3 linked regions of the Oryzias latipes genome follow. The main gene of each other region encodes a partner of the protein of the gene in region 2 in a complex. Links are inferred from orthologs where the notes say so. Each region holds a gene or a part of one and is shown on either strand. Other genes may lie near its edges. The genes, in order: heterogeneous nuclear ribonucleoprotein Q, gapdh and rpl13a.

Region 1 (3,495 bases), on a different chromosome or scaffold from region 2:
GCACCCCCACACTGAAATCAGTGGTATTCACCTGTATTCTCTGCATTGAATTCTCTTTTTCTGGTAGATCTTTGTTGGGAAGATTCCCAGGGACTTGTTTGAAGATGAGCTGGTTCCTCTCTTTGAGAAAGCTGGATCTATTTGGGACCTCAGGCTCATGATGGACCCCCTAAGCAGCCTTAACAGGGGTTATGCTTTTGTTACATTCTGCGCTAAAGAAGCAGCACAAGAGGCGGTCAAACTGGTGAGTTCATGGAGTTATTTTCAGACAAAAACTTTCATTTTCAAATTAAAATGGGCCGAACGGCCTGTTCCTGACCGTCATCCTGAAATGCCTTTTTACAGTGTAATAACTACGAGATCCGCCCCGGAAAGCACATCGGTGCGTGTATATCTGTCGCCAACAACAGGCTGTTCGTTGGCTCTATTCCCAAAAGTAAAACAAAGGAGCAGATTGTTGAAGAGTTTTCAAAAGTCACAGGTACGACCGGGGTTCCTGTCGGTACTTGAAGAACTTTCCTTAAATATAAATCTTGTGATTTATTTTGTTCTGAATCTTCTTTGTGTCCAGACGGCCTGAACGATGTGATCCTGTACCATCAGCCCGACGACAAAAAGAAGAACAGAGGCTTTTGTTTCCTGGAGTTTGAAGACCATAAAACAGCCGCTCAGGCACGGCGCAGGCTAATGAGTGGGAAGGTCAAGGTCTGGGGCATCCTGGTCACAGTGGAATGGGCTGATCCCATCGAGGATCCCGACCCAGAGGTCATGGCCAAGGTGAGCATCACCCTTTGAAAACCTGATGCTGAACTGAGAAACCCAATGCATGGAAACGCCTGCAGGCCTGTTCCTTTGCCCCCTTGGGGAAGGATGGGTTTGTTTGAATGTTATCTGGCCAAAGCGGTACTCTTCAAAAAGTGTTACTGCATGACAGAGTACTTAAAATGCTTAATGTCCTTATTTTTAACAGTCTGCAGTGCACCTCTGTTTTCACACACACAAGGAAACATATTTTACCTCTCATCGCCACGGCAACAGACTTTTTTCAGAGCAGTGCACATTATCCGTCGGGTAACTGTATTAGGATCTTCTGCTGTGAAGTACAGACAAAGCTGCGCTCGCTAGAGTAAAGCTCCACCCCCACAGCCTCACGCCTTCTCATAGGAGCCGCCCACAATCACTGGAAAGGCAATATTATTGGCTAGAGTTCAGTAAGACTGGAGAGTGATACGTGATATGAACGAAGCCCAGAAATCTGTTTTTAATGGTTCTGGTAATGCGGCACACGTTGGTACAAGGATGTCCTGACAGAAGGAAGCTGCACAGGTCTGATGGGAAAAGCGTTTCTCTATCTGTGTTGCAGGTGAAGGTTTTATTTGTGAGGAATCTCGCCAACAGCGTTACGGAGGAGATTCTTGAGAAGTCTTTCAGTGCGTTTGGAAAGCTGGAGCGAGTGAAGAAGCTGAAGGACTATGCCTTCATTCACTTTGAGGAGCGGGAAGGTGCAGTGAAGGTACACACTTTCATTCAGAACCAGAGCATTCTTTCTAAAAAACAACACAAAAGAATGGACCTAAAACTGACCAAACCTTCATTTAGGCCTTGGATGAAATGAACGGGAAAGAACTGGAGGGAGAGCCAATCGAGATCGTCTTTGCCAAACCGCCGGATCAGAAAAGAAAAGAACGCAAGGCTCAAAGGCAGGCAGCCAAAACACAAATGTATGAGCTGTTAAATCAGCAGGAAAGCCTTCCTCCTCCACAAATACTGACTTTATGCTTCTGATTTTTTTTCCTTTCTGTCAGATATGATGATTACTACTATTACCCTCCTGCTCCCCACGCGCCCCCTGCAAGAGGCCGGGGCCGAGGAGGCAACCGGGGTGGATACGGCTACCCCTCCGACTACTACAGCTATGATGACTACTATGACTACTACGGCTATGACTATCACAACTACCGCGGCGGCTACGAAGACCCCTATTACGGCTACGAAGACTTCCAGTCCCCGAGCCGAGGGCGCGGCAGCAGCAGGGGCGCCCGTGGCGGAACTTCACCGGCTCGAGGACGCGGCAGCGCCGGCGCGCCGAGGGGCAGGCCCAGCTTCCCCCCGCATGGAGGGCCTGGACCGAGCCGCGGAGGGCGGGGAGCGAGAGGAGGCGTGCAGCCGAGAGGGCGAGGAGGGGTACGTGGTGTTCGGGGTGGCCGCGGTGGAAATGTAGGAGGAAAGCGCAAAGCTGATGGGTACAACCAGCCAGATTCCAAGCGTCGCCAGACCAATAATCAGAACTGGGGCTCTCAACCCATTGCTCAGCAACCCCTCCAAGGTGGTGATCATGCTGGTAACTATTTTGGTTACAAATCTGACAACCAGGAGTTTTATCAGGATTCTTTTGGGCAACAGTGGAAGTAAACCAGTAAGGCTTTCATAAAAGGAAAGAATTTATCCTTTCTGCCTTGTTTTTTCTCATTTAGAGACTTGATCTAATTGGCCCTCTATTCCATTTTGTTGCCAGCTTTATTTTTTTGTTTTTTCCACTCAAAAGTTAGTGACACCTGGCAGGATATCTTTATGTATATATTTTATCGATCCGCTTGGACTCGATCTAGTCACTCTCACCTGCTTCTGGCAAACTGCATTTTTTTCCTTTGTTGTTTTTGTTTTTTTAAGGTGGTCGTAAAAGATTCTTCAAATCCAACTTTTCCAACATTTTTAGATGCGAAATGTGCTGAAGCTGTCTATTTGGCTGTAGCTTAATGTATGTTTTATAGAAATTCTGATTTTAATGTTTTAACTAGTTAAAATAAAAAAGCTACCAAGCTTCTGTCTCCTAAAAATGTATTTAATAAGAGTGAAATTACAATTTGTATTGTAAAAGTAATGCGTGTCTTGTTATTGAAAAGAAAAAAAAAAAAGGACAACCGTAGTCCTCATTTTTGGGCTTTACATTTTGGCTTGTATTCTTTGCTGTTTGTCTGCTTTAATAAACATACACGCACACGTGTACAAAAACTTCAAATTGTGTCGCAAATTCATGTTTCGGCAAATTCTCTTTTCAAATTTTCTTCAAATTTAAGGCTCCATGTGGAAGAAGGTGGACTGAAGGTTTGCCATTGTTGGCCATATGCTACAGTGTCACCTTGCATGCCATCCAGTTCCAAGTCACCTTCTGTAGTCGGCATCTCAGAGCTCTGTCTGTGTAGTGGCGTACCTCATGTCCCAAAACATCTCACTAATTGGTGTCCCAAATTCACTGTCAACGCAGCGACGTCAGAACGGCCTGGGGGGGGGGGGGGGGGGGGGCACAAAAGCACAATTGGATTGTAGCCTCAGACTGAAGCTTTTCCTGGTCCCAGAAGGAACTTTGCTGTTCACAGCGTGGAAACTAAACCTGCATGTTTATCTCCAGGTTTGGCGCCGGACTTGTGTTGGGAAGCAGCGCTTTGCATGCCTCCTCCCTGTAGATCTGATTTATGCCCTCATTCCTGCTTCACC
Region 2 (4,186 bases):
GCTATTATTGCACATCTCTGCAGGCTGGACTTTGTACCAGACAGAACACAAGTTGCACAAATGTACCTAAAAGCACCTTTTTACATGAACGCAATCACAAAGTCCCGTCTTTACAGCTTAGAAGTTTACCACTGATGTTTCTGCAGATGTTTGTAGCGAGTCAGTATGAACACAGAGGACTAACGAGTCCAATTTATGTCATGAAATGTTTCCATGTTTTTCTCTAAAATCAATGCATCAGTTTCGTTCCGACTCAAACGTCGAGGTGCTTGAACTGTTGTGAAACAGACAAAAGAAGATCACCACGAGGCAGCACTTGCAGCACTGAGTATATCATGGATCATGAGTTTGACTCGCTGCAATCTAATCTTAGCTTGACCTTTGCGTCCCTTCTTTGACCTTAAGCTGTAAAGCGGCGGCTGGGACTGGCATGCTTGCACTCGGAGGGGTTGTGATAGTTCAGCTATGCCAGGACCACTGGACGTCTGCCACCAAACCCGCCGTTGCTGCTCAGCTTCAGAGCAGAGAACCGTCTCTGCAGCCTGCTGAAACATGCAGAGGAAATCTAAGCGAGCGTTTGTCGGGTCTGGTCTGCTTGTGCAACACGTGGGGAAAATCTAACACCGTAATCTTGGGAGATCTTTTCTTTCTGATGTCAACATTGTTGACAGAACAGGGAGTCAAAAATAGACTTCGGAAGGCAGCTGGCATGCCTGAGCCTTGTTGTGTTTTGAGACTGGTGAAGAAAGCAAAGATTATTAATCTCTAAAAGATAAAATGTGCTCTTGCAGATTCCTTAGCTGCAGCACTTTCAAGATAAAGTTTTACTATAGAGCCGTTTCCAAATGTCCACACAAAAGTCACAGTTCAGGTGAGCAAACTGACTCCGACAAGTTCCTCTGCACGACTCAAGTTGAGCAACTGAGTTTCAACTTTTGACTTGAGCTGAGGGGATAAAACGGCAGAAAAAGAGGCACGGCAACAGAACCATTCAAGTGAAGGGTCATGGTCTTTGAACATTAAATGTCAGCGTCACTAAGCCAGAGATTTGATCCCCCATTTGCTCTCTCCATGTGTCTGCATTCAGTGAGAAGGTCAGCAGGGACCCCTCTCTTTTTTCAGCTGGAGGATCTAAATCAGGACCTCCAAATGCTTCAGACTAAACTGACAGCACATATTTTGAATTAGAATAAATGCTCTAAAGAGTTAGGACTGTAATTAAAAGTTAAATATGAAGAAGAATTGAAAGGAGCTTGACAAAAATGGGATTTCAGAGCCTGTGTCTGAGCAGCTAACGACCTTGACATTCACAGGGGGCGGGGTGAGGATCGGTGACCATTAAGGGGTGTGGCTTTGTCCTGAGGGGGCCATCATAAATACTCCCAACCAAACTTTGCTCTTCCCCACTCACACCCGGAGTCGCAAGACAGACAGAAGCGTCTCACAAACGGTAAAGGCTTCAGCTGTTTCTGGCAGCATGACTCTTTCATTGAAATCACCTGGAGACAATTGATGCAAAACAGTCACTTTGCTTTGTTTCTGCTTGATTGAAGCTGTTTAGAAAGTTGTAAAGTGTCATGGAGAAGTTGCAGCAATCAAAGTGATCCAAAAAAAAAGGACTTGCATGAATGTTTGAGGCCTTCTGCTCATCTTTCTGCCCAAATGATGTGTGATTTTAAAAAAAATATTTGTTGCATAGATTTCTAAAGGATGTTTTTTTTAAATTGTTATTCTTTAATCTCACAGAGGACTAAAGATCAACCCAGGCTAAAATGGTGAAAGTTGGTATCAATGGGTAAGAGCTTTTTCTCAACACTTCAAGCTCACAATGCCACATTGTTCTTGATGCACTTCAAATATTTCCTTTTTAATCATTTTATTTTTTTAATACATTCCTGGAGTGGTTTTGCAAAACGTTCCCTGAATTGTTTGATTTCTTAAAATAAGGATCTCTTAATGAAACTCTGAATGTTCAGACTAACTTTAGCAGAGTTCCAAGAAACCTTGAGGACACTTGATTTAAAGAACAAGCTCTGGTTTACTAAAGAGTTTTTAATTTTCCCTGGCGATCAAGACGTACATGGAGCTGAAGCAATTGGCATCCAATTTGAAGGTGGTGTGCAACATCTGAAGCAACAAGTGTCCCCTGATGCATTTGAACAAACCTTTGCGCCATCTGGATGTTTTTTGTTTTCTCTCAATCTCTGAACTTTGGCCTTTTGGTAGAAAACTTTGAGTTTGTTTCACCCCTTCAACTGGACAGACGTTTTCTTCTACTCTTGGAATTGAGTAGAAATGAAGCTGAATATCTCATTGGATATTGAACTATCACAATCCTGAATCTTTAGTGTTATCTGCCAGTCCTGCTGGCCTCTGTTTTAGACCAGGTTTTCAGGACTGTGGTTAAAAAGTAACCCGACCATTGATCAAACCGCAGCTGTGGCGTCATCAGGATTAACACACTGGCGGTTCTTCTGACTTTTGCCCCCAGAAAGGGGCGTGTGAGCATTTGAGCGGCATGCAGCCCCTCCTCATGAGCTCTGCCCTTTATCTGACTGCAGATTCATGTCTCCTGGGATGTTATGCATAAGCCAACGTGAAGGAAGGAAACAAAATGGGGTTCTTTCAGTGAACCGCGTTTGCTCGGGTTCACCTGAAAGTCAGCACTAGCGTCCCTTACTGAATGATTTCAGGTTATTAGGCATTGGCCCCTTTATGTCACTGCCACTCAGACATAACTGCACAGATTAGATGGCCTCAGGACGCCATCTAGAGGCCAGACTGATACTTGTCCTTCCACATTTCAGTTTTGGCCGTATCGGCCGTCTGGTGACCCGAGCTGCTTTCACCTCTAAAAAGGTGGAGATTGTGGCCATCAATGACCCGTTCATTGACCTGGACTACATGGTGAGTGAAAGACATTAAGTCTTAAATTAAATGGGGGGGGGGGGGGGGGGAGATCTTGTATTCAAGTTATTTTTGTTTTAAGGTCTACATGTTCAAGTATGACTCCACCCACAACCGCTTCAAGGGTGAGGTCAAGGCTGAGGGAGGCAAACTAGTCATTGATGGACACCAGATCACCGTCTTCCATGAGTGAGTTAATGTGCCAGTATTTAATAATCAGTGATTACTTTTTAGGACGACTAAAAGAAAGTGATTGGATTTTTCTTTGCAGGAGGGACCCTACTAACATTAAATGGGGTGAGGCCGGTGCCCAGTATGTTGTGGAGTCCACCGGTGTGTTTACTACCATTGAGAAGGCCTCTGTATGTATGCTCCCCTCTGGATATCATGATTTTTATTTATTTATTTATTTTTGGATCAAGCAAATGCGGAATAATCCTCTTTAAATCCCAAAATGCAGGCTCACTTGAAGGGCGGTGCCAAGAGAGTTATCATCTCTGCACCCAGCGCAGATGCCCCCATGTTCGTCATGGGAGTCAACCACGAGAAGTACGACAACTCTCTCACGGTTGTCAGGTAAGATGACTTTTAATCTACAAAAGGACCGTCCATTTTTGGATCTTACAGCTCTGACGCCAATGTTTCTGCTTTTCAAAGCAATGCGTCCTGCACAACAAACTGTCTGGCCCCCTTGGCCAAAGTCGTCCACGACAACTTCGGCATTGTTGAGGGCCTGATGGTGAGAGCAGACGCTCCATTAAACGATTTTTGCTGCTGAATGTTCAGACTCATTGAACCCACCTCCCTTTTTGTCTTGGTCTCTCTTCAGAGCACAGTTCATGCCATCACTGCCACCCAGAAGACTGTGGACGGACCCTCTGGTAAGCTGTGGAGGGACGGCCGTGGTGCCAGCCAGAACATCATCCCCGCCTCTACCGGAGCTGCCAAGGCTGTGGGAAAAGTCATCCCCGAGCTGAACGGGTGAGTCCTCAGTGGGTTTTTTAATATTACAGCATACATGCTGTCAGGGTCTTAATTAAACACTTAAAATTTCTACAGCAAACTGACCGGCATGGCCTTCCGTGTGCCCACTCCCAATGTGTCGGTGGTTGATCTCACAGTCCGCCTGGAAAAACCAGTGAGTGACCACAAATCCTTTTATTTTTCCTTCATATGGATTTATTATTATTATCCATATTATTATCACCAGGGATTAAGATGGAATCTCTTAATAAAATTAATCTGCAAAACTGTACAGTTTCTCAGATTTTATTCACTT
Region 3 (4,156 bases), on a different chromosome or scaffold from region 2:
CACTTCCATGCTTTTTCAGAACAACACAACATTGTTCTCACTACACAAACTGTTAAACTACTGTCCTTTGGGTTTTGTGTTTGCAAGTAAAACAGAGTAGAAATGTCGAAATGCAGTTTTTAGATCATTGCATGTTATTTAACGGTATTTCTTTAAAGCCTGATGTAATCAGAAGTGGTATCTTTAAAATCTGTCAAAGTTGAAAACTTCTCCAAATAGAAAATAAGCTACTTTCTTATTACTTTATCCCCACTTGGAGCCTTCTGTGCCTAATTTTTGTTAGTACTTTGACTGAAAGTGATCAGAGTAATTAGTAAATGGCAAAAGTAAACTAAATGTTTTTTAAACTGTTAAGGTGGGAAAGGCTTGCTTTTTATGAGTATTTTTAACCAAAGGAGTTGTTTAGTAATTAATCAGACAGGTGATTTCAGGTAATAACTGGAGAGTTGCAGGACAAAACACGAAGAAAGTTATTACATGTCAAACCATAACAGGCTTTGTATTCGGCAAACTAGGCTGCTCAATTGTATCTTGGGTTATCATGCTAAGGGCTGCAATGTGAACCAAAATATGAGTTTATAAAAGAAATGATGGGTCATTTTGTGCTACACGGTCTTGTTCGCCTCGCAATGGAAGGCCCTGGTTTGAATCCCACCTGAAACCTTTCTGTGTGGAGTTTGCATGTTGTCTGGGCACTTAGACCTTTTTGTCACAGTCTAAAAACATTCTTCGTAGGTTAATTGTGTGCCCTGCAACAGAATGGTGACCTGTTCAACCAGGGTTTACCCCCCCTTTACCTAACAGCGGGGAAAGTCTCCAGCAACCCTGTGACCCCAAAAGGGACAGAGTGGTTATAGAAAATAGATGGATGGATGGGTCATTATGTGTTTTACAATGAACCCTTGATGTGTCATGAAAAGAAGTGTCAATAAAGTTTGGTTGAAATCAATTAACTTCAAGTATGTACTGTTTTTTAACGTACTTTATAAATCTTGCACCAAATAGTTATGTATGTTGATTTTTTTTTATTTGTTATAAAGACTATCTTGCTAAAATTAATATGGGTTGGTAATATATAGACTGTTTTAAAAATATTATTATTGTTGTTTTCTTTTTTAAATATTATTTATTCAGGTTGCACCTTACAGCCTATGGGTGGCACTCATCATGCTCTCGAGGAAATGTGAACGTGCGAAAAAGACGGATGAAAAAGACTTAAATGTCGTCACTTCCTGCCACCCCTGCCTTTTACCATGAGCAACCCCGTTCGTCTTTCTTTTCGCTCATCATGGCGGACCGGTTCAATAAGGTGCGTGGAAGCTGCTTACACATATTCATTGTTTTTTCACTGTTTAGTGTATCTGGTCTTTTGTCCTTGGTTCACTTGTATTGTGCGATCATTTGTGTTGCAATAGATTCCAAATTTGTGATTTTCGGGTCATTCTCTTAGCCTCAATTTGAAACATTTGAGACGAGAAGCCGAGAGAACATGCCTTCATAATGGCAGCCTCCCTAAGAAAAGGGCTGATTAGCTTGCTAGCCTTACTTTATTTACGTCAACTTTAGTAGTTTGCACTTAGTTGGGTGATTTTGAGATTAATTAATTGAGCTACTTTCTTATTTAGGAAAGATCTGTAATATCTTACCGTAACGATATATTTACGTATTGTTTGGAAGGGGAGTTGATGCATTAGCATGCTTGACGTGTACGCTAGGGGCTATCATCGTTAAGTTAGCCGGCCTGATTTAAAATTTTGTAGCTTTTAAGAGTTTTCCCCTCGTTTAATAAAGAGTTATTTTTTGTTCACCGTTAGTTGTGTACAATTAGAAATTTAAATCACCGTAATTTGAATGTAAATTCATTATAACACCCCCTCGACCACATGTCGCAGTGTACTAACACAATAAATCCTCCTTGCAGGTTCTGCTGATAGATGGCAGGGGTCATCTATTGGGCCGGCTGGCTGCCATTGTGGCTAAACAAGTTCTGCTGGGTAAGTTATAAACGATCTCTAATGGTATTTGGCTACTGGCTCCATCTATGATGATTCCACATTCTCCCTTGGTTGAGTTTTAAGGACAATGAGAATTTTATATGTATCTGAGATTTTGGACAATTGGGATTATTGATCAATTTGTTATATTTTTTTATTCTTAATTTGTCCATTTTTTTTTTCTTTCTTTAGGGCACAAAGTGGTTATAGTGAGATGTGAAGGCATCAACATTTCTGGCAACTTCTATCGCAACAAGCGTAAGTCAATATTGAAATTTTGGCTTTAATTTTTATTTTATAAATGTTTGTCTGTGATGTTTTCCCACTTGTATTTGAGTTTCATTGACCTTGAAAACATTGTACATGCACTACCATCTGAGACAAGCATACATCAATTCTCAGCCGTTCTGGTGGATAGAACATAGTTTAATGTTTGACTTGTTTCTGACAGTGAAGTACCTGGCTTTCCTGCGCAAGAGGATGAACACCAACCCGTCTCGTGGGCCGTATCATTTCAGAGCTCCCAGCAGGATCTTTTGGAGGACAGTTAGAGGTGGGGTGTGAACACATTGAATAGTGCAACACTGGTGTATTGATGTAAATTACATGGGACAAAAGAACAGTTGTGTATCAGGTGGATCCTTGCTTTACAATGATGAACTTTTTTTATCCCGAATCTGATTGAATCACTGATGATCCAAAACTTTACGGATCTGATTTCTGAGTTAAGCAAGGATTTGATGTGTTTATAAGATCCAGAGTGTTTGTTTTTATACGTTAAAATTGATGAATGTTTTGCTCCCAACAGGCATGTTGCCCCACAAAACCAAGAGAGGCCAGGCTGCTCTGGAGAGGCTGAAGGTGTTTGATGGCATCCCACCTCCCTATGACAAGGTGTGCCACTGTTTGATGACCTATGGCCAACTGTCTGACTTTTAAATCACATCTTTTGTTAAAAAAAAAGTTTTTAAATGTATGTGACAACGCAATTCCATCAGTGGAAAATGTTTGTTTTTTAAATTCCTACTAAATCTTTGGTTTTGACTTGCAGAGAAAGCGCGTGGTTGTGCCAGCTGCTCTTAAAATTGTGCGGCTGAAGCCCTCTCGCAAGGTAAGTCTTAAGAATAAATAAATCCATGTTTTAATGAACCGTTGCCAGATAAAGGTCAATATTTGTTTAAAGCATAATCCAGCAAGGTGATAATTGCACACATGTTCTATGCTAGCAATTTTCTGTTTTTATAAAAACAATTTCTTTGAGTAATTTCAGAGCCTAAGTTTCTGTTGCTTCGTTTGTCTTCAGTTTGCTCTCCTTGGGCGTCTCGCCCACGAGGTCGGCTGGAAGTACCAGGCTATCACAGCCACTCTGGAGGAGAAGAGAAAAGAGAAGGCCAAGCTCCACTATGTCAAGAAAAAGACATTGGTTAAGCTAAGCAAGCTGGCAGAGAAGAACGTGGAGGGCAAGATCGCAAAATACACAGATGTTCTGAAACAATACGGTGTTCTTGTCTAAAATGGTTTGTTCTGGCGAATAAAGATGAATAAATGTTTATAAAAAGTGTTTTGATTCTTTCTTACTCAGCCCTGAAGTACAGTTGATTAATTATGGGATTTAAAGAGACATATTAAACGGGATGACTATTTAATGCTCTAAAGTAACTTGTGCAGATCAAAGGAACTTTTTCCTGGAGTTTATCGGAAAAGCATTTAATTGATAAACAACTATAGCATTCCCAGTATAACATTGTGGGCTTCTTGCACCGCTACTTTTTTTTGTCTAGAAGTCTGTATTTAACAATCACACAAAATTGTGGTTGAGTGATGGTGAAAGGGTTAATGGATTTTCCATATATTAAAAAATATTTCAGGCTTTAAATAAAAAAAAAATGGCTTCAGGTTCATAGTTTATGAGGGAAGCTGGTAGTAAATTTCTCGGAACCTCATGGAGTTTTCTACCAGCAGAGGGCAGTATTGCAGCATTTTAGAGTGACAAATCTGCAAAGCTTTGGAGTGACAGTATTTGATTCGTAGTTTAAGATAAATCTCTTGACAATAACCATCTTGGCAAAAACTGGTCATAAAATTCATTCTAAGAGCAGAGTTTCACTTGTGTAAAACTGTGTGCAGACTAGATTTCTCAGTCTAATGTATTCAGTGCAGTG

What was found.
Region 1: gapdh (region 2) and heterogeneous nuclear ribonucleoprotein Q share a complex: the UniProt entries of both Homo sapiens proteins name them as parts of the GAIT complex. The link is inferred for Oryzias latipes from reciprocal best matches to the Homo sapiens genes GAPDH and SYNCRIP.
Region 3: gapdh (region 2) and rpl13a share a complex: the UniProt entries of both Homo sapiens proteins name them as parts of the GAIT complex. The link is inferred for Oryzias latipes from reciprocal best matches to the Homo sapiens genes GAPDH and RPL13A.

What each region holds. Positions count from the first base shown.
Region 1 is NC_019882.2:1,562,541-1,566,035, reverse strand, and holds part of heterogeneous nuclear ribonucleoprotein Q, read left to right. Parts: intron 1-67; coding exon 68-244; intron 245-345; coding exon 346-481; intron 482-571; coding exon 572-777; intron 778-1,363; coding exon 1,364-1,513; intron 1,514-1,599; coding exon 1,600-1,721; intron 1,722-1,805; coding exon 1,806-2,412; 3' UTR 2,413-3,495. UniProt on the Homo sapiens protein: Heterogenous nuclear ribonucleoprotein (hnRNP) implicated in mRNA processing mechanisms. Component of the CRD-mediated complex that promotes MYC mRNA stability.
Region 2 is NC_019874.2:20,246,251-20,250,436, forward strand, and holds the start of gapdh (glyceraldehyde-3-phosphate dehydrogenase), read left to right. Parts: upstream 1-1,367; 5' UTR 1,368-1,450; intron 1,451-1,746; 5' UTR 1,747-1,772; coding exon 1,773-1,795; intron 1,796-2,807; coding exon 2,808-2,907; intron 2,908-2,989; coding exon 2,990-3,096; intron 3,097-3,178; coding exon 3,179-3,269; intron 3,270-3,367; coding exon 3,368-3,483; intron 3,484-3,564; coding exon 3,565-3,646; intron 3,647-3,736; coding exon 3,737-3,888; intron 3,889-3,966; coding exon 3,967-4,045; intron 4,046-4,186. UniProt on the Homo sapiens protein: Has both glyceraldehyde-3-phosphate dehydrogenase and nitrosylase activities, thereby playing a role in glycolysis and nuclear functions, respectively.
Region 3 is NC_019880.2:9,907,233-9,911,388, reverse strand, and holds rpl13a (60S ribosomal protein L13a), read left to right. Parts: upstream 1-1,227; 5' UTR 1,228-1,288; coding exon 1,289-1,309; intron 1,310-1,921; coding exon 1,922-1,994; intron 1,995-2,186; coding exon 2,187-2,252; intron 2,253-2,298; exon of another isoform or gene 2,299-2,379; intron 2,380-2,445; coding exon 2,446-2,547; intron 2,548-2,641; exon of another isoform or gene 2,642-2,721; intron 2,722-2,802; coding exon 2,803-2,888; intron 2,889-3,045; coding exon 3,046-3,105; intron 3,106-3,297; coding exon 3,298-3,507; 3' UTR 3,508-3,555; downstream 3,556-4,156. UniProt on the Homo sapiens protein: Associated with ribosomes but is not required for canonical ribosome function and has extra-ribosomal functions.